Linked DNA regions of Stegostoma tigrinum. The protein of the gene in region 2 interacts with the protein of the main gene of each other region in a pairwise test. Links are inferred from orthologs where the notes say so. Each region holds a gene or a part of one and is shown on either strand. Other genes may lie near its edges.

Region 1 (10,735 bases), on a different chromosome or scaffold from region 2:
TCTTTCCTTCAGGTTATCTAAACTGATGTTGACCCAGACTCTTTTTACATGCAGTTTTCCAGACCTGGGTTTCTCCTGCACTGTTTACAGTATTTTGGGATTGAAGACAGACACGCTGGTTTATTTATGACTTGGGAGTATCATAGTTGTCTTAAGTTAAAATACTTCATGTAAACAAAAATGAGGTGAAGTGCTGGTTGGTAAAGAAATGTTAAATTAAAATATTTTTCATCCCATCAGAAATGAAGGAAATGTATTTGCATGAGTCCTCCTTCCTGCATAGTTGTTTTAGGGGCCTGGGAGGTGTGCAGTTAAATCTTTCTCACATTCAAACACAATTTTGCTGAATACATTTACTAAAAATGGCTGGTAAATAAATGCAGCCTTAGTTATTCAGCTTAGAAGTAAGTGCTGAATTTTCTTTTAGGGGCACAGTGGCTAACTCTGATGCCTCACAACACCATGAGCCCCGGTTCGATTCCACACTTGGATGACTATCTCTGAGGAGTTTGCACATTCTTACCTGTTTGTGTGGGTTCCCTCCGGGTGTTCTGGTTTCTCCCACAGTCCAAAGATATGCTGGTTAGATGGACTGGCATGCTACATTGCCCATAGTGTCCAGAGTTGCACAGGCAAGGTGGATGAGCCATGAGAAAATGCAAGGTTACTGGGATGGGTCTGGGTGGAATGCTTTACGGAATGTCAGTGTGGACTCAATGAACTGAATGACCTGCTTCCACATTGTAGAGATTCTGTGAATGTAGGTGGATGACACTTGATAAAATAAGAATAAATGAAGCAGATCATACTTTTATCTTTTGGTGGCACAGTGGTTAGCACTGTTGCCTCACAGCACCAAAACACCAGATTCGACTCCATCCTCAGGTGAATATGTGTAGAGTTTGCACATTCTCCCTGTGTCTGTGTGGGTTTCCTCCAGGTGCGCTGGTTTACTCCCACAGTGCAAAGATATGCAGGTTTGGTGGACTGGCTGTGCAAAGTTATCCAGAGTGTCCAGAGATGTGTAAGTTAGATGGATTAGCCATGGGAAAATGCAGGGTTACAGGGATAGGGTGGGTCTGGGTGGGATGCTCGTCAGAGGGTCAGTGCGGACTCGACGGACTGTTTGGCCTATTCCACACTGTAGGGATTTTATGAAATATTTCAGCATATGACATATTAGACATGAATTTAAGAAAATTATTTTAAGTATGGTATGATTTGTAAAATAAGATATTTTTGTTTTCAAACTATTGTGGAACAGCATAAATTTGTTCAGCTCATTATAAAGTGTTGAAATATTCAGCTTATTATACCTCAAATTATGGATGCATAATTTCTAACATGATGACATTTCCTCAAATATCATAAACAGTTTTGTACAGTACAACTAATTTATAAATAAATAGTCCAAACATGAATGTGCATATCATAACAGCGATTCCAAGCAAACATATGGATGATATTAAATCAGAGTGCTTGCATAGCTCATAATGGTCATTAGCTCAAAACCAAGCTTTTGAAATGTGTGTTGTACAGTATAAGAGCAACTGAGATTGAGGCAGCACGGTGGTTCAGTGGTTAGCACTGCTGCATCACAGCGCCAGGGACCTGGGTTCGATTCCCCCTCAGGCGAATGTCTGTGCAGAGTTTGCACATTCTCCTTGTGTCTGTGTGGGTTTCGTCTGGGTGCTCTGGTTTCTTCCCACAGTCCAAAGATTTGCACTTTTGGTGGATTAGTCATGCAAAATTGCCCATAGTGTTCAGGGATATGTAGATTAGGTGGGTTCTGAGGGACGGGTCTGGGTGGGAAGCTCTGAGCGGTGGTGTGGACTTGTTGGGCCGAAGGGCCTGTTTCCACCTTGTAGGGATTCTATGAAATGCAGATTGGTTCCATAACTACAACTAAATTGTAGTTCAAGTCCAGATGCTAATGCTATGAATTTACACCAGTGATGTAATCATTTCAAGTCAATCACAAAGTATTCCACAATATTTTGTTGAATCAGACTTGGTTCCAGTTGAGTGCTTGAAAATTACTTTTATATGACTTCTGAACCCGTCTTGTACTGAGGTGTTTTAAAAATGTATTGCAAATGGATCTTTATCCTATTTTACATAATCATCCGCTATTATATCAAATAATCCAAAGCCATACATCCCTACTTTGGCTTATCTAAACTTGTTCCCTCTACCAGTCTGTTCATCAAAATCTATCTGTAAATCAAAACACAGGAAAAAAAAATCAAGTTGCCTTGCTTAATATGTTATCAATGCTATCAAATTCCCAACCGAGCCTCATTACAAGACCATACTGTTTCTGGCATTAGATGATGAGAGCTGTCCAGCTTTTGACCAAACCACCTCTTTCACTTCCATGATCAATAGTCTAAATCTGGCTCTGAGTTAGGATCCCATCTCTCAAAACTACGAACAATATTCACTAAACAAATACTCTACTCTCCACACTCCATATTCTCAACTGCTGCTGTTTGTTTCCTTTCTCAAGTCTTGGATCAACACTGTGGTGTTGCCACTGTCTTCCCAACTTCATCACCATTTCCTGCTCAAACTCTGTTTTATTTTTATCAATACAAAGATACTTGGTAAAGTCACCAACAACCTTTGTGAACGTGACCAACGTTGAGTACATTTCCTCAACCCCAACCCTACCATCAGTGTGGTGAACTACTCTGCTGTATTGTTATTCTCCAAAGTTCATGTCAGTGGCACCACTCTTGGCTGGTCCAATTCCTTATTACAACAGATATTCTATTGCCTCGACTGACATCTATTCCTGGAGTTTCCTGACATGACGAGCTTGACTTTTTCCTCATCATATACAGGCTATTGCATTATTCGATCAGAAGAATGGGATTATCTTTTACATCTGCAACGTGTGCACATCACTTGTCTGATTCCTACTCCTCCAATGCAACATGATTGAAGACAAGATAGATGGAGTGATTTTTTGACAATATAGGCAGTTTAATGTTTGACAAACTGCAGCTGATGAATGGTGATACTAAGAAAGCAGAGAAGAGACGTTTAAATAACAATATCTAATAGTGAGATATCACAGATAAGAATTTCAATGGGACTACAGGAGGGATAGACAATACTGCAAAGGTGGAAAGAAGTGGTCATAGATGTTGATAGCATGAGCATTTGAAGCTTATCTTTTAAGTCAAATATCTGACGAGTTCTACACCCCATAACTGACAACATTGAAAAGCCGTAGGTAATAAGTACTGCCTTTAATTTTCAGCACCGACACTGGAGTACCAAACAGTGTTTTTTTAAATGAGGAACTGTCTCAAAGGTGTCAGCTTTCAGATGATAAGTCTAGTCTGCCTTCTCATTGGATAAAGATGAAAAGGCAGTATTGGTAGAGCAAGGGTTCACCCAGTTTCTTAGCCAATGTTTGTACTCCAATTAATATAATTTATCTATGCATTTATTTCAGTGCAATCTTTGGGAATCTTGTCTTGCACAAGAATCTTGGCTTTCACATTTTCCTACATAACAGCAGCAGCATTTCAGAAAGTTTCAAACCAGCTGTAAGGTCTTTGTAGGTGTTATTTAATTCAAATTCTTTCAACAGAGAAGGATGGCATGATGTGGCCACTACTAAATGCGGTGAATGCAATGAAAAATCATCAAAAAAAAAAAAAATCATTCTTGATTTTAGTAATTGTAGTCTTGAAACCTGCAAACATTAGCAGGATTGTCAGGATTCACAATGTGCTATAGGGCATAGAGCTGATCAAGAACATATCTGAAAGTCTTTAAAAAGATTACAGGTGAGTGAGCTAGTTAAAGAAAATGAATAGTTTGAGGGTTTTTTAGAGGAATGGTTTTCATAATAGCCAGCAGAGTGTAATTCAACAAGCAAACTGTGCCATTAACAATGACAGATACTAAGATGGTTGGACAAAGTAATTTACTGTGGTTGGAAGTTAAATGTGGATGGAATTGAGGGAGCAGTAAATAGAAGACAAGTATAGAGGGAAGGCAAGCATAAGAGGGGATGCAAAAATATGGCAATGGGAGAAACTGTAATGTAACAGGATTTGTAAAGATAACAGGATGAGATGTCCATAAAAATTAATCTTAGAAACAGCTACATGCCATTTTCAAACAGAAACCAAGGAAGCCAAGCCTATCACACCTAGTTAACAAGGTGTAGAGCTGGATTTCGGACCCACACCCTTCATCAGTTCCTACAGCCTTCCTGCTCCTATGATGCTGCTTGACCTGCTGTGTTCATCCAGCTCTACACCTTGTTATCTCAGATTCTCCAGCATCTGCAGTTCCTACTATCTCTATCACACGTAGTGCCTGAAAATGAGATGTGGACGGGAGCAAAAGCTCATCACAAAGAAAAAGGACACAAGTATATAATTGGTTTTGAAAGATAACAGAAAAATGTTTAATGGAGTTACAATGCAAATTGAGTAAAACATGTCAATTGCCAATGAGAACAGGGTTTCTCAAACCGGGCAGTGAGACCCAATCCCAACCTCTCTCCCCATTGCTCACAGAGGAACCGTTAGCACAGTGCGGAAGAACTGCAGTAAAATTATTCCTAAAGGTTTGCAGAAAAAGTGAATCAATTGTAAAATGAAACTTTTAAAGTGCTCCTTCTGCACATGTCGTCTACTTACACAGGACGATCAACTATCGTTCGGGTCGAGTGAGGGAGATAATTACATGAAATTCAGGGTCACACACAACAACCCTGAAAAATCCAGCGGCAGGTTATTGACAACAATCTGTTTATATTTTTCAATAGGTGAAAAGATAATTTCACGTACATCATGCTGCAGATATCCCAGGAATTCGGGAAATACTGTGTAGAAAACAGTGGCAGACAGGAGTCAGGATGAAGTCAACCAGGAGTGAGGGGAAAAAGGGAAATATATCTCACGACTAATGTCCGACCAACAAAAGGCTACAGAATGAAATAAACGGGTCTGTTAAAGCACGGGAACCCTATTCTCGGTTTTCCAGTTAAAGGAGTAATCTTTCAAATGAAGAATGTTTCACATTTCTAACAGCTATTAGAACAGACCCAGTCAGTACTCTTGTCAATGAGGAAGAAAAAGTTTGTCTCAAAAACCCCCGCCCCCTTCAAGACCGAGGCGAAGGTCGGTCAGTCAGTCAGTCAGGCAGGCTCAACATAAAATACAGGATTGAGAAGCCGTTTTCTCTGATGAAGGGTCTAGGCCCGAAACGTCAGCTTTTGTGCTCCTGAGATGCTGCTTAGCCTGCTGTGTTCATCCAGCTTCATGCTTTGTTATCCTGTCCTGGTTATCGTCCCCACGGCAACATCAAGAAAGAAAAGAGCTTTCCGAAGCATACTTGCCTCCATCGTGTTATTAAATTTCCCTCCAATCAAACCTCCCACGGTTTAAGTAAGGAATTTCATTCCTGCACAAAAAGCGCCCCATGACGCAAACCGAAACCAAAATGACAACTACACGACCGCTCAACCAAACCTAAAACAGGGCCTTCCCCTCTGATTGGCGTTTCGTTCACGATTTTTGTTGCCGCTCTGCCCTTCAGCCGAAGCACTTATTGAACGGCACCAGCGTCCGTCAAACTGCCTTTCAGTCTCATTGGGTGGAGCTGTACCGGTTAGCTTTCAGGTAGGACGGCTGAGCTAATAGTGAGAACCCGTATTGGGACGTGGCACCGAGTTGGTGTCCAATCGGAGAGCAGCAGGCGTGCGCGTGTTGTCGGGGGGAAATGGGGAAAAGAAAGAGTGGAAGAAAATCGCAGCGTTTTGGGAGTAACTTAACCAAGAAGCAGAAAAAACATCTGCGGGAATTCGGGGAGCAACATCCCTTTCACGATGAGTGAGTCTGTCTGCTTTAGAATCACCTTAAATTGGCCGTCGCTCCCAGTCTTGCACCCGTGTTTCGGTCTCATCATCCTGAAGTGTGGTGTTGGAATAATGTGAACAATTTTCGAAGTTTAAAGTCGAATTATACTGACATTGGAGGTAGTGCAGAGAAGGTTCATGAGACTAATCCTGGATGTAGTGGAGCGCTCTTATGAATATTGTGTGGGTTGGGCCTATACTCATTGTAGTTTGAAAGAATGAGAGGCAACTTTGGTGAAACACGTAAGATTCTTCAGGAACTTGACAGGGTAGATGTGGAAAGTTTGTTTACCCTTAGGGGCGAGTCTAGAACCAAGGGTATAGCCTCAGAATACGAGACCATACATTTAAGAACATGGGTTTAATAATTTTTTAAAAAGTGCAGGATTAAGCAATTCAGTCCCTAGAACCTTGCATCCATTGCTGTGTGGGATAGTGAATTCCACAAATTCTTGACCCTTTTGGGAGAAGTAATTCCTCTTCATCTATTTAAAATTTGCTAGTGGCAAGAGGGTTTCTTCTCTAAGGCTAGTGAATCTTTGTAATTCTTTACTGCAGAAGGCTGTGAGGGTAAAATCACCATTGTTCCAGAGAACCATAACACTGTTGTCTCAGTAGCGGTCTCCAAGCCTCAGGTCAAGTTGAGAAAGTGGGACCTTTTGTGGCAACTTCACCTGGAGCGAGCATTTAACCTGGCTGTTGAAGTCTTTTTCACAAACCGGCAGTCCAGGGACTGTCAAAGCTGTGACATTCAGTATATTCGAGGCTGAGGGAGACAGATTTCTAATCGGTGGGGAAATTGAGTGGGATAGGGAAAATACAGGAAAGTAGAGTTGGGGGTTATCAAGTTGGTCATGGTCTCATTAAATGGTGGAGCAGACTCGACGGGCTGAATGGTCTGCTTCTTCTCTGACATCATATACTGTGATCGGTTTGCTCTGAAATTCTTTGCCCATTGTGTAACTATCAGTATCTGTAGCCTCCATATGTCCTCTACATGACTTAGTTTTATGCTTTTTCTGTTATCTGCAAAATTGGCCATCTTACCTTCTGTTCCTTTAAACAGGTCATTTATGAAAATTGTAAACAATTGAAGTTCTTGCACTAATTTATATGGCACACCATTACATCTCACCAACCACGAAAAGATCCATCTTTGCCTACTCTCTGCCAATCTGCCACTCTATCCATGCCAATATACTACCCCATGTTGGAATAATGTGAACAATTTTCGAAGTTTAAAGTCGAATTATACTGACATCGGAGGAAAATAAAACATGATGTTTTATTTTCAACGGCAACATTTGATGTGGCAACTTCTGAAATACCCTCTAAAAATCAGAATGCTGAAAATTAATAACTTATAATTATTAGCATGCCTTTAACAACAGATTCTGATGTTTTCCCTATGGCAGACATTAAACTGATTGGCCTGTAGTTTTCTGTTTGTTGATTCCTCGTTTTGACTAAAGGAGAAACATTTATTATTTTGCAACCCACTACAATTGTATCTTGTTTTGGAAAAGAAAATTAAAATCAACATATTACCTATCGCAGTTGGAACTTATTTTGAGAACATAGAATAAAGACGTTGCCAATAGAGTGTGGAGCTGGAGGAACACAGCATGTCAGGCAGCATCAGAGGAACAGGAAAGTTGACGTTTCGGGTGTGCATCCTTCATAACCAGCCCTAACTTCCCCCCCAGCTCCACACTGTATTGACTGATTCCAACATCTACAGTTCTTGCTGTCTCCAAATAAAGATGCTTGTTAGTTTTCAATGCCAGCGATTTACTCAGTACTACTTGAGTGATTGTAATTTTCCTGAGTACCTCACACCCTTTTATTTTCTGATTTATTATTGCTTCTGGGATGTTGCTTTATATCTTTTATAGAGAAAATTATAAAATACCTGCTCAATTTGTCTGCCATCAGGCTATCTTGCAATTCTGTGTAATATTTGGGTATTATTTTGCAGGATTTTGGAAAAAGCAGCGCCAGTTCAGATTGTTGATCCGGTGAGTTTTGAATACTACTATTGTGGATTCTTTGTAGTATCTGGAGGTAACACTGTCTGGAAGACAGAATGCTTCATGTGTTAGTTAAACTTAATTTTAAAAATATTGAATTAAATGGCAGCTAGAAATGAACATCTCTGGAAATGTCTAGATAAAACACGCAATGTTTGATGGGTTGAGAGTGCAAGTTCTTTGCTGTGAAAGTTTGTAACAATGATGTAGGCACTGATGTTTATTTTAATAGTTTATTATGCTTAATGCTAGAAAAAAAGACATTTCACAGAGATAATTTAAGTAAACATTAAGTAAACATTACACCAAGACACAGATGACAGGTGTTAGACCCGTTTTCCAAAAATCAAAGGAGGTGCAAGGTTTATGAAAGAATTCCCAAGCATGGAAATGTAGATAGCTAAAGAAACAGCTAGTGTAGGTAGAGTGAAGAGAGTGGGAGAATGTCTGACTTTTCTGGACAGTGTCAGAAATTACACAATGCTATTTCAAAGTGACAGGAGGAAAGTTAATGGGAGATATGCGTGGAAAATTCTTTATGCAGAAGGTGGTGGGTGCCTGGAATGCATTGACAGTGGAGGTGGTAGATGCAAACATGATAGTCTCTTTAAAGATGTATCTGGACAGGTACATGGATGGGCAGAGAGCAAAGGGATACTGACCCTTAGAAAATAGATGACAGGTTTAGACAGAGGATCTCAATCGGTGCAGGCTTAGAGGGCTAAAGGGCCTGTTCCTGTGCTGTAATTTTCTTTGTTCTCTGTTCTTTTTAATCCAGCAGTTTTATTTGAAGTCACAAGCTTTTGGAGCCTCAATCCTTTAGAAGGACTGAGGCTCCAAAGCTTATGTTTTCAAATCGACCTGTTGACCTATAATCTGGTGTTGTGTGATTTCTGACCTTGCCCACCCCAGTCTAATACTGGCACCTCCATGCCGCAGAGAAGTCGGAAGCAGTGATTGTGGGAGAAGTTTAGGATTGGACGTGCTCAATGGTAAGAAAGGGTAAAACCATCTGGGAATTGAACACTAGAATGAAAATTGAGATGGTGAGACAGTTGGAATCATTGTATGCTAGCAAAGGTAGGGATGATTAGATACAGAGGAGTTGGTGTGGAACAGGATCTAGAGTCAGAGTTTTAGATGGGTGAAAAATGTATGCATTGAGGAGGAAATTGATGTAATAGAGTTTGGAGGTGAGAATGATGTCGAGTTTTACAGTTGGACTGAGGTAATTGGGCAGGAAAACATTAACCAAGGCAGTATTTGCAATGGAGGTATACAAGTCAGAAACTCACTGTTGTTGAGCGAGGTGCCAAAAATGTAAATAGTTGGTTTCAGTCTTAGATAGTGGCTCATGAGGTTCGTACAATTCTCAGACAAAATGTCTGAAGAACATGGTGACTGCAGATATTCAATTTTTTTTTTCACTTGCTCACGGGATGAGGACATTAGTGGCTAGACCAGCATTTGTTGCTCATCCCCAATTGCCCAGAAAGCAGCTCAGAGTTTGGAGTTTGGGTTTGGAGTCACAAGTAGCCAGACCAGGCAAGGATGGCAGTTTCCTTCCCTAATGGATACTAGTGAACTAGATGGATTTTTCTGACAATTGGCAATGCGTTTTTAAAATTTAATTCAAATTCCACCATCAGCCATGGTGAGATTCAAACCTGGGTCCCAGACCATTGCCTGGGTCTCTGGATTAAAAGTTCAGTGATAATATTGCTAGATTGTTGTGTCCCTTCACCATTCTTACTATTATTTTTGTCCAAACAATTTCAGGCTGAAAGCTCAGAGCAGACCGATTCAGAGAGCGATGCAGAATCTGGTATGGAACAGATGACTGCCTACCAACATCTGTGTTCCACCTTCAAAAATGTTGCGGAGGATCCAGACTCTGGTTCTGATAATGACAGTGAAAGTGAATTTGAAGAGGTTGTGAAGGATATGATCCAAGATGAGGAGGAAGAGAAAGATGATAATGAAATCAACAACAAAAATGATGAAGGAGAAAGAGGTATTTTCTTAGTTAATTGTATTTTTTTTCTGTTATTTGAGATGTGGGCATCACTGGCTGGACCAGAATGTATTGCCCTCCCTTGGAAAGGTGTGGTGAGCTGCCTTCTTGGACCTCTGCAGTCATGTGCTGTATATGAAATGACTGGATGGGAAAGGACATTCTTAAAAATAGCAAATTCATTTTGTAAAATTAAATCAAGATCCATTCTAAAAAAGAATTATATTCTGACATTGAATAATCTGTCATTAAGTTGACTGCATGTTTCTCATTTTTCTTCCTTGGTTGTTGCTTATTGTTTACAGATGCATTCAGTAAAGCTGAAAAGAAAAGTTGTACTACAGAAGAAGAATTTCCCAAGAGTGAGGTGGCACACAGTGATAAAATTGAAAACGACAGTGACCTAGAAACTGATTTCACTGATGTGAAGAATGAAGCTAAATTCTGTTTAGAAAGTAATTTCATTGGAGATGGGAGTCAAGGTGAAAGTGAAGAAGTTGCTTATGTAAACAGTTCTGAAGGTAAAACTTTCCTGATTTCTATTTGTATTTTCAGTAGACTCCCTTGGGTGAGTTCCACAACCTGCCACTTGTAAACTTTGACCAAGGCAGTTTTATTCTACAATGTTAATGTGACTTGAGTAGGTCAATAAACATAACATGACTACAGTGCATACGTTGTAGCTTAGATATTCAGTATGAATAATTTTTGTTTCCATCTTTCAGAAAGTTATTTTTCTTTAAACCAATAGAGCAGCCTAGCTGTTTTTGGACTAGCTAAATTCTAGTGGAATAAATAGGTAGC
Region 2 (10,708 bases):
TGAATTTCAGTGAAAGACCATCTCATTAAAACCAAAAGAAAAATAAAATACGATCTATCAAGCCAGATTTCAGTCTGTTATCTAATTTTTCCAGTAATAACATTAACTGGAATCATAACAAATCAATTAAAGGTATTATAAGTTTTCTATTTTAATAAAATATTGGACTATGGATTCTAAAAAGCCAACAATTCGGCTTTTAGGTTCTATGAAGGTGACGACTTCTTTAAGGTCAGAAATTAATTTGATTTTAGCAGTGGATCAAAACCGCTTTTCCAAAATATCCTGTAACTTAAGCAAGAGGACTATACATGCTGTCTGCTGAGATAAATGCTTAAGTGCTTACAGCTTTCCAAGCACCCAAAGAGAACCTGGGGGTCAAACGAAGACTCAGTTCAGAAGATCTTTATCAGCCTGCTCCAATATTCAACATGATCAAGATTGATCCTCTATCTCAACGCCATACTTCTGCTCTCTCTCATATATCTTGACACCTTCAGCTTTCAGAAAACTACCATTTATTTCTTAATTATATTCAGTGGCTTTGCCTCCACAGCCCTCCTCACCATTTGAGTGAAGAAACGTCTCACCTCAGTCCAATATGGTCCACTGCGTATCCTGAGAGTATGATCCCATTTTGGATCCCCCAGGCAGGGCAAAAAGCATATCTCCATCCAGTCTATTCAGCCTGTTAGCACTTTGTAAATTTGAATATATCCCCTCCCATACTTGCCAACTGCAATAAGAACATGCGCAATTTGGCCAGTCCCTCATCATATGACAAACCTGCCATCCCAGATCAATGAAACTTCATTACAATTCTCAAGACGATAAGAAATGCTTGCCATTTGGCCATCTCCATCATTCAGCAGGATCATAGCTAATTTGACACACATGTCCACTTTCCTGCTTTTCCCCCAGGAATATTGATTCCCCAACAAATCATAAGGCAAGCTAAGCCTTAAATATAAACAACGACTCTGCACCTGCAGCTCTCTGAGATGAGTTCCAAAGACACTTAACATTGAGGAAATTCCCCCTCATTTCAGCCTTAAGTTGGTGCCCCTTTATTCTGAGATTATGCCCTCTGATCCTCAACTCTCCCATGAGGGTAACATCCTCAGAATTTACCATCAAGTGATGAGATCGCCTCTCATTCTTCTAAATTCCAGTAAGTCATCTACCAACTGGTTTAGCTTTTCCTCCTAAGACAATGCATCCATTCCAGGAATAATTCTGGGGAACATCTGACCTGCTGCTAATGATGTTATGTATTTTCTTTAATGAACAAAACTGCTCATAGTACTGTAAATGTGGTCTCACCAGCACCTTGTACAGCTGCAATAGGATTTGTCTACTTTACACTCCAAACCCTTTGAAATAAGGGCCAACATTCCATTAACCTTTCTGATCACCTGCTGCATATGCAGCTTTCCGTGTTTCATGCAGAAGTTCTCCAAAATCCCTTTGTTTTGCAGCATTCTACAATTTTTCTCTATTTAAATAATACTTTTGTTCTCCCTTTGGAAATAAACAACTTCACATTTTCCCACATTACATTCCATTTGGCAACATTTTGCCCACTCACTTAACTGATCAATATTGTTCTGTAAACTATTTTCATTGCTCTTTCAACTTGTCTTTCCACCTATTTTTGAGTCATTTGCAAATTTGGCTTCCATACAAATGCTTCCTTACTCCAAGTTATTAATATAACAATTGATATCCTAGCACTAATTCCCGTGGAACCACACTGATTACAGGTTGCTCCCTGAAGGAGAGGCCCTTATTGCTGTTTGCTGCCATCAACCAATTCTCCATCCATGCCAATATACTACTATTAACACTGAGGATTCTTAACATTTGATTTAACCTTTTGAGAGGTCCCTTGTCAAACTCCTTCTGGATGTCCATACACCACATTGACTGGGTCTCCTCTGGTTCAGACTTCGTCAAAAAACTAATACATTAGAATAGACATGGTTTCCCTTTCATGAAACCATGCGGATTTGGCTCAATGAAATTAGGATTTTCAAAATGTGCTGCTATTGCTTCCTCAATAATTTATTCCAAATTTTTCCAACTATAAATGTTGGGCAAATTGACCTAGAGTTACCCACTTTTGCATCTCTTCCATTTTGAATATGGGTGTCACCTTAGCAATTTTCCAGTCCTTCGGCACATCTCCAAAATCAAAGGAATTTTGGAAAATTACATCACTATCTCTGCAGCTACATTTTCTAGGAATTTGAGAATGCAAAGCATCATGATCAGGGACTGATCTGCCTTTAGCCACATTCGTTTGTCTGATATTACTTCTCTAGTGATGAGAATAAATATATCTTTTCTTCCCTTAGGGACAGCAAAGCTAATGACAGTACTCTAGGCACGGTCTCAACAAGGCCCAACACAGCTGCTGTAAGATATCCTTACTCCTCAGTTCAAACCCTCCAACAAGAAGGGCAATCATATAATTTGCCTTTCTAACTACCTACTATATTCGCTTGCTTGTTTTCAGTGGCCACATGTACAGTTTTTTTTAGCTTCATGGAAGTCTTTGACTCAATCAATCATGATGGCTTATGTGTATCCTTCTAGAATTTGGGTTCCCTCAAATTTGTCAACATCCTCTGCATGCTGTATGGCATGCAAGCCAGAAATGGAAGCCAGTAAAGGAAAGCACATATACTACACATCAGAAGAAATAATAGATAGCACACCTATTCCATTAATGTTACTGAAATTGCTCGCAATTAAATGAAATTTGGAACTCTGAACAAACCTGATATTTAGCATGTGCAATATCATAGAAACTAGACTTCTTTCATTTTAGCAACTTGCCATTCCCTGCTCACGATGTGGTCTATTGTATCCTGGCAAAACTAAATACGGATTATAGGGTCAAAGAGTTATACAGCATTGAAACAGACTCTTCGGTAACTTGTCCGCACCAACCAGATATCTGAAACTGGTCTAGTCCCATCTGCCATTATTTGACCCATATTCCTCTAAACTCTTCCTATTCATGCATGCATCTACGTGACTTTTAAATGTTGTAACAAACCTGCCTCCACCACCTCCTCCTCCTCCTCCTCTGGCAGCTCATTCCAAGCATTGCACCACTGTCCCCATGAAAAAGTTGCCCCTCAGGTCCCTTTTAAATCGTTTCCCTCTCATATTAAGCCTATGCCCTCTGGTTTTAGACTCCCTTTCCTGTGAACAAACCTTGGCTATTCATCCTATCCATACCTCTCATTGATTTTCTAAACATCTATAAAGTCACCCCTTAGTCTCCTATAATCCAGGAAAGCAATGGCTCCCACTTAAACTCAAACAGTCTAATCCTGACAACAGCCTTGTATGTCTTTTCTGAGCCCTTTCAAGTTTAACAGCATGTTTCCTTTGGCAGGGAGATCAGAACAGAAGGCGATATTTTAAAAGTGGCCTCAACAACATGACATCCCAATTCCTACTCAAAGTTCTGACCAATGAAGGAAAACCTGCCCAATGCCTTCGTTTTGTGGGATATCCCCTGCAGCCCTCAAACGTGTCCCTGAAATTCAATCTGTCAACCATTTTAATTCTCTATTCACAACCATCTTGACATCTATTCTGTTCAAGTGAAGTGCATTTTCAATTGGTGTTTACAGAACAACGTCTTTTGTTTAGGTACTTTATAGCTTTCTGAAATTAACATGAGTTTAACTATTTTAAACCATAACCCTACCTTCATTTTTAGTAAGACATCAGTTGAAATTAATTTTGCAATCGTCATTTACACCCATAAACACATTTTTCTTCCTTTGTTTACTCTATCTCCATGTTCATTTTTCCTCACATCATTCCTTCTCAGCATTTCATTTTTGATTTTTCTTTCGCAGTACTTCCTTATTGTCTGTCACTCCTCATTTTTTCCTCAAAAAGTGTCCGTTCTGATGAAGGCTCATAACAAACACTACCTGTTTGTTTCTAGTGATGCGGGAAGGTCTGTTTTATATTTATAGCAAGGTGTAGAGCTGGATGAACACAGCAGGCCAAGGAGCATCAGAGAAGCAGAAAGGCTGATGTTTCAGGCCTAGACCCATCTTTAGCATTTTTTGCTTTTCATTTCAGATATCTAGCAACTACAGGAACAAAAACAAAGTTGCTGGAAAAGTTCAGCACATCTGGCAGCATCTGTGGAGAAGAAAACCAGGCTTAATGTTTCAGGTCTGGTGACCCTTCCTTAGAACTGATGGTGGCTGGGAAAACATCAGTTTATATGCAGAAAATAGGGAGGTGGGTGGGGTAAGGAGTAAACGATGGGATAGAGCCCAAAGGGAGAGAAACACATGTGGACAGACAAAGGAGCTGCTAATGATCAGGTTGGGAGGGCGAGTACTTGTTAATGGGAACTGTTAGTGACTAACCACAGTGGATGTGTAATGGCAGGCTATGTGGTAACAAGGCCTGGTGTGTGGGGTGGGGGGGTCTGGGACATGAGAGAGTTTAGGCCCTAAAATTATTGAACTCAATATTGAGTCCAGAGGGTTGTAGGGTCCCCAAGCAGCAAATGAGGTGTCGTTCTTCCAGCTTGCATTGGGGTTCACTGGAACACTGTAGCAAGCCGGAGTCAGAGATGTTGGCCAGGGAGCAGGGTGATGCATTAAAGTGGCAAGCAACAAGTAGCTCAGGGTCTTTTGTGCGAGCAGAATGTAGATGTTTTGAGATAAGGTCGCCAAGTCTACACTTAGTTTTCCCACAAGTCTACACTTAGTTTTCCCCATGTAGAGGAGATCACATTGTGAGCAGTGAATTCAGTAGACTAGATTCCTGGAAGTGCAGGTCAAGTGTTACCCGTTGCCTGCCACTTCAATGCACCACCCTACTCCCTGGCCAACATCTCTGTCTCCGGCTTGCTACAGTGTTCCAGTGAAGCCCAACGCAAACTGGAGGAACGACACCTCATTTGCCGCTTGGGAACCCTATACAGCCCTCTGGACTCGATATCGAGTTCAATAATTTTAGGGCCTAAACTCTCCCACGTCCCAGCACCCAGGCCCACACACCAGGCCTTGTTCCCACATCGCCTGCCACTGCACACCCCCTGTTGTTAGTCATTAACAGTTCCCATTAACAACTAATCACCCTCCCAGCCTGATCATTAGCAACTCCTTTGTCTGTCCAAATGCGTTTCTCTCTCTCCGTGCTCTATCCTATCGTTTACTCCCTATTTTCTCCATATAAAGTCATGTTTTCCAGCCACCATCCGGTCTAAGGAAGGATGGTGGGACTTCAGACGTTAACACTGGTCCCCCCACCCCCCCCCAAACACAGATGCTACCAGACGTGCTGAGCTTTTCCATCAGCTTTGCTTTTGTTCCTGATTGACAGCATCTGCAGTTTTTTTGGTTTTAAATCCAGCAACAAGTTTAATTAACTTTTACACTGGCTGCTCTGACTTGTATTATTTGAAAAACAAGCCGCACACTAGCAAAAACGTAACTCGTCTTTTCTTTCGTTTCAGATACTAACTGACCTGTTGTACTTTCTGCCTACACTGTTCAATTTACAGATGACCGTAATAATCTGTGGTGGCGGCCGCAACCAGAAAGCACGGCGTGTTCAGTTTCCAGGAAAAATTAAATTAAGTTTGCACGGCGATAGAAAGTGTCAGCACAAACTTTCGATGAAATGAGACTCGTCGCTTCTCATTTGTCAAGCAGTGGATGACAAACAACTGCAATATTGTCTGTGACGACGAACAAACAGTATACGCCGCCCTAAACAAGGAACACGATTGTTCCAGAAAGCTGGCAGGTGACGATTTCTCGTGACCCGGAAGCGTTGTGTACCGTCGCTCGAGACCGTATTCGAATGCTAGACGGTTAGCATAGCCTGTTGATACTGCGAGCAGAGGGGATTTGGAGCAGGACTGCTGCGGTAGTGATGAGCTGCAACCAATATAAGTTAATCTACAGGGTCAGACAGGTTTTTTTTCGCTGCAAAGTTTCGTGTTTGCGATAAGTAAATGACAGCGAGTTTGGATTTATGGCGTTATTTAGTTGGGCAGGGTGGGTTGGTGGATGGCGAGAGAGATGGAATTTTGTGTTGTCTGTTCGTAATGGTAGCTCTCTATGCCTTGCCTTCAAAATCAGGGTAGTTGTAATCCTGTATCATTGGTGCCCTCGATGAGAAAACTAAACGATTTTACAAATAAATTAATTCGGAGGTCCGGAACACTTTGCTCGCTGTAACAATACTTAAACATAGTATACAGCGATAGCAAACATTTGCTTGTTGCAATTGACATATTGGGGTGGGCAGAATGATAGATGCCTGGTTGGTTTTCTCCTTTAATCCTACAGTTGTTAAACAAAGTTAATGATGTAACATTGTATGAATATGTGGATTTTGTTCTGGTCTAACTTAACAACAACATTGATTTGAGTTAGGCCATCTGTGCAATATTGTTCAGCTTGGTAAACATCTTGTATTAATTGGATCATGAATGGTTTGCTAGTTTGTTTGCTTTTTTGGACTGTTGTATTTAAGGTATTTTTGTTTTGGAAATATTTCCATTATGGGTATTGGAATGGCAGATTGCTTTGGTTCAAAACAATTAATATTGTGACATTTTTAAAACCCTTCAGTACTTATAGTTCATCAATTGTTGAACCAGTGAAGTTTTGTACAGTTGTCTAACTTTTTTCAAAAGCTTTCTGCTAAAATTGAACTTTAATGTTTGTTTTTGCATGAATATTAGCCATAGGATCGAACAATGTGGAAACAGGCCCTTTTGGCCCAACAAGTCCACACTGAACCTCAGTGCATCCCACCAGACCCATTTCTTTCTCTTCCTTCCCCTGTGTGCCCTCCAACCCACCTAAGCTACACATCCCTGAACGCTAGGTATTTTAGCATAGCCAATCCACCTAACCTGCACATCTTTGGACTGTGGGAGGAAACTGGAGCACCCAGAGGAAACCCACACTGAGAATGTGCAAATTCCACATGGACACCCGAGGCTAGAATCAAACCTGGGTACCCAGTGCTGTGAGGCAGCAGTGCTAACCACTGAGCCACCATGCTGCCCATATTAATTGAGGCAATTTTTTTGGAGCCATTAGAAGTCATTGCATTTGGCAAATATATCACTGACTTACTCAATGACTTAAAATAGCAAAAAATGCAATTGATTTCAAAGTGTAGAACAGCACAGTACAGGCCCTTCAACCCTTGATGTTGTGCTGACCTGCCATACCAATCTGCAATCTGAAGTCCAGGTGCTTGTCCAATGATGACTTAAAGTTGGTGAATCTACTACTGTTGCAGGCAAAGCATTCTATACCCTTCCCCTTACTGAATAAGGAAACTACCTCTGACATCGGTCCTATTATCTTTCACCCCTCAATTTAAAGCTAAGCCCCCTTGTGCTTGCTGTCACCATCTGGGGGAAAAAGGCTCTCCCTATCTAACCCTCTGATTATCTTGTGTCTCAATTAAGTCACCTCTCAACCGTCTCTCTAATGAAAACAGCCTCCAGTCCCTCAGCCTTTCCTCGTAAGACCTTCCCTTGATACCAGGTAACATCCTAGTAAATCTCCTCTGTACCCTTTCCAAAGCTTCCATATCCTCCTCATAATGCGGTGACCAGAACTGTACGCAATACTACAAGTGTGGCCACACCAGAGTTTTGTACAGCTGCAGCATAAAAACCACTTTTGTGGTGTTCTGGCAATGTATTCCATTCTGGCACAATATCATTCTAGTTCAGTCATATTTTGTGAAGTCTTGCCATAACTCCTTCCTTTGTACTCTGCCATGTTTCAGAACTGTATCCTTTTTGTGTATGCTCTTTCCTCAGTCTTCCTATCAAAACTGACTACTTAGCTCACATCAAATTTTATTTGCTACTTGTTTTTTCATTGCACAAGCCTGTCTTTTGTAATGTATCCTTGCTGTTCAATACTTGAAAGATTTTTACTGCTGCATATTTTAAAATTGTACTTTGCACATCTAGGTTATTAACATTGTTCATCAAAAAACAAGTTTCCATTACCAACCTCTGATGAAACCCTGGGGAGGCAGCCATGTCATGTCTGTTAGTAGAACCCCCAGAATCCAAAGCTAATGCTTTTAAGTACATGCATTTAAATGGCAAAATTGGAATTCAATTTAAAAACAACTGAAACTAGGAGTTAGCCTCATGGCAGCCACAGTTGATTGTCGTAAATCTATCTGGTTTTTTAGTATCCTTAAGGAAAAGAAATCTGCTGTCCTTAGCTGAACTTGGTTGCATGTGATTTCAGATTCACAGCAATGTGGCTGACTTTTAACTACCTAAGATGATCCTAGCAAACCACTCGGATCAAAAGACAACTAGAGATGGGCAATAAAAACTGATCGAGCTTGCCAAGTTATGGCTGCCTCCTGTCCAAACTTCAGTTGCCTTGCTTCCTGTCAGTTGGACAATTTGTATATGTCACCACTTATTGCATGAGCTTCAACTTTGCTGACAAGCCTAATATGGCATTTTTTCAAACACCCGTCAGAAATGCATAAACTAGATTAATTGGGTTTTTTCAAGTAAATAAGACTTGCCCTTTGTGAAAAGCATCTCAGATTAGTGCTTGAGCTATGTTCACTCAGTTCTGAGTGAGTCAGCTTTTTAAAAGAAATCTAGTTGACTATTTGCCAGTAGCATTGAGAGAAACACTAAGGCAGTCAACCTAACGTCATGGTGTTGCTTTTCTTGGTTGTGCAAAGTCAAGGAGATTATTTTGTTTATATTCATAGACCTGAAGAAGCACAGTAAGATATAATGAAAAGCACTCAGGATTTGAATAAACTGTGACTTTAAATCCTTCCTTTCATAAGTAAACTAGTAAGGTGGTGGTGGGACCCAGTGAGATAGTGAGGAAAGAGCAGTCCAAGACTGTTATCTTACTCTTTTTCCTAACTATCAGTCAGGGCAGGCAGGAACAAAGCAGAGAATGAGATGTGCTTCTTAGACAATAAAATGTGAGGCTGGATGAACACAGCAGGCCAAGCAGCATCTCAGGAGCACAAAAGCTGACGTTTCGGGCCTGGACCCTTCATCAGAGAGGGGGATGGGGAGAGGGAACTGGAATAAATAGGGAGAGAGGGGGAGGCGGACCGAAGATGGAGATTACAAGAGAGTTGCAATGGGAGAGAGATTCCCTGAGGATGGTCCGGAGGGCGGAGGGTGACTTCTTCAGGTTAGGCATCCCTGGAAGAGGCTTCGCAGTGAGGTTAAAATAGTATCAGAGATAATGGGAACTGCAGATGCTGGAGAATTCCAAGATAATAAAATGTGAGGCTGGATGAACACAGCAGGCCAAGCAGCATCTCAGGAGCTTCTTAGACTGAACTGTATTTGTCATCCATCCTAACAGGGAATGCAGAAACTGAGCATGATTCAGAACATGGGACTGATGTCGTAGCAATTGCAGAGATGGATAGGATAGCAGCTTAATGTTGCAGGGAATAGATGCCATAGGAAGCTGAGAGGAGAGCAAGAGGGAGGAGTGGTGTTTTAATTATGGATAACATTAGATCTATACACAGATATTCCAGGGAGTGTGTCTAGGGAATTTATTTGGGTAGAACTGAAAAATAAGGGAGTGATCACTTTTATTGGGATTATATTGTACACACCCCCAGTGGTCATCAGGAAGTTGAGAAACAAATTTGTAAAGAGGCCTCTGGTATCTGAGAATAATAGGGTGGTTATGGTAGGGATTTTAATTTTCCAAATACGGACTGAGACTGCTGAAGTATTAAGGGCTTGGATGGAGAGGAATTTAAGTATATGATTCTGATATAGTATGTGGATGTGCCTGCTAGAGAGTACAAAACTTGACCTACTGTTGGGGAAATAAGGCAAGGCAGGTGACAGATGTCAGTGGGGGAGCACTTTGGGGACAGCAAACAATCCTATTACTTTTAAAATAGTGATGGAAAAAGATCAGATCTAAACATTAAAGTTCTATATTGGAGGAAGTCCAATTTTGATGGTATTGGGCAAGAACTTTCAAAAGTTGATGTGGATGTTGGTAGGCAAAGGGAAGGCTGGAAAAGGGGAAACACTTTAATGAAAGCCCAGAGACAGCGCCTTTGTTAGTGAAAGGCATGGCTGGCAGATCTAGTGCATGCTGGATGACTAGAGAAATTGAGGGTTTTGTCAAGGGGGGACAAAGATGCAAGTGTGTCAGGTAATGACAAAAATTCTCGGGCTTCACTCGATCCCATAAAAGCAGTAGGAGTGTACTTGAAGGGGGAAATCAAGAATGCAAAAAAGGGACATGAGATGGCTTTGGCAAATTGGGTGAAGGAGAATCCAAAGAGATTCTGTAAATGTTAAGGCCAAATGGGTAACTAGGGAGGGAATAGGGTTCCTTTAAAGATGTGTGTTTTGGATACTGATGGAGTAGTTGGCATCAGTGTGCACTAGAGCAGTGGGTATGCAAGATAGAGAACACAGGCAAACAGATGGTGACATCTGTGTCCATATTTCAGGAGTGTTGACCATTTTAAAATGCTCAAAGGTGGATAAATCCCCAGGACCTGATCAGGTGTACCCTTGAACTCTGGGAAGATATTGCTGGGCCCCTTTGTTGAGATACTTTTATCATCAATAGTCATAGGGTGAAGTGCTAGAAGACTGGAGCTTGACTAATGTGGTGTCAGTATTTAAGAAAAGTAA

The links. The genes of interacting proteins can lie anywhere in the genome.
Region 1: the proteins of mipol1 (region 2) and utp25 interact in binary tests that used the Homo sapiens proteins (3 or more experiments, as listed by UniProt). The link is inferred for Stegostoma tigrinum from reciprocal best matches to the Homo sapiens genes MIPOL1 and UTP25.

What each region holds. Positions count from the first base shown.
Region 1 is NC_081362.1:63,456,936-63,467,670, reverse strand, and holds the start of utp25 (U3 small nucleolar RNA-associated protein 25 homolog), read left to right. Parts: upstream 1-5,709; 5' UTR 5,710-5,751; coding exon 5,752-5,861; intron 5,862-7,865; coding exon 7,866-7,905; intron 7,906-9,696; coding exon 9,697-9,931; intron 9,932-10,236; coding exon 10,237-10,452; intron 10,453-10,735. UniProt on the Homo sapiens protein: Component of the ribosomal small subunit processome for the biogenesis of ribosomes, functions in pre-ribosomal RNA (pre-rRNA) processing. Essential for embryonic development in part through the regulation of p53 pathway.
Region 2 is NC_081363.1:57,567,157-57,577,864, forward strand, and holds the start of mipol1 (mirror-image polydactyly gene 1 protein), read left to right. Parts: upstream 1-5,310; 5' UTR 5,311-5,799; intron 5,800-5,826; exon of another isoform or gene 5,827-5,961; intron 5,962-10,708.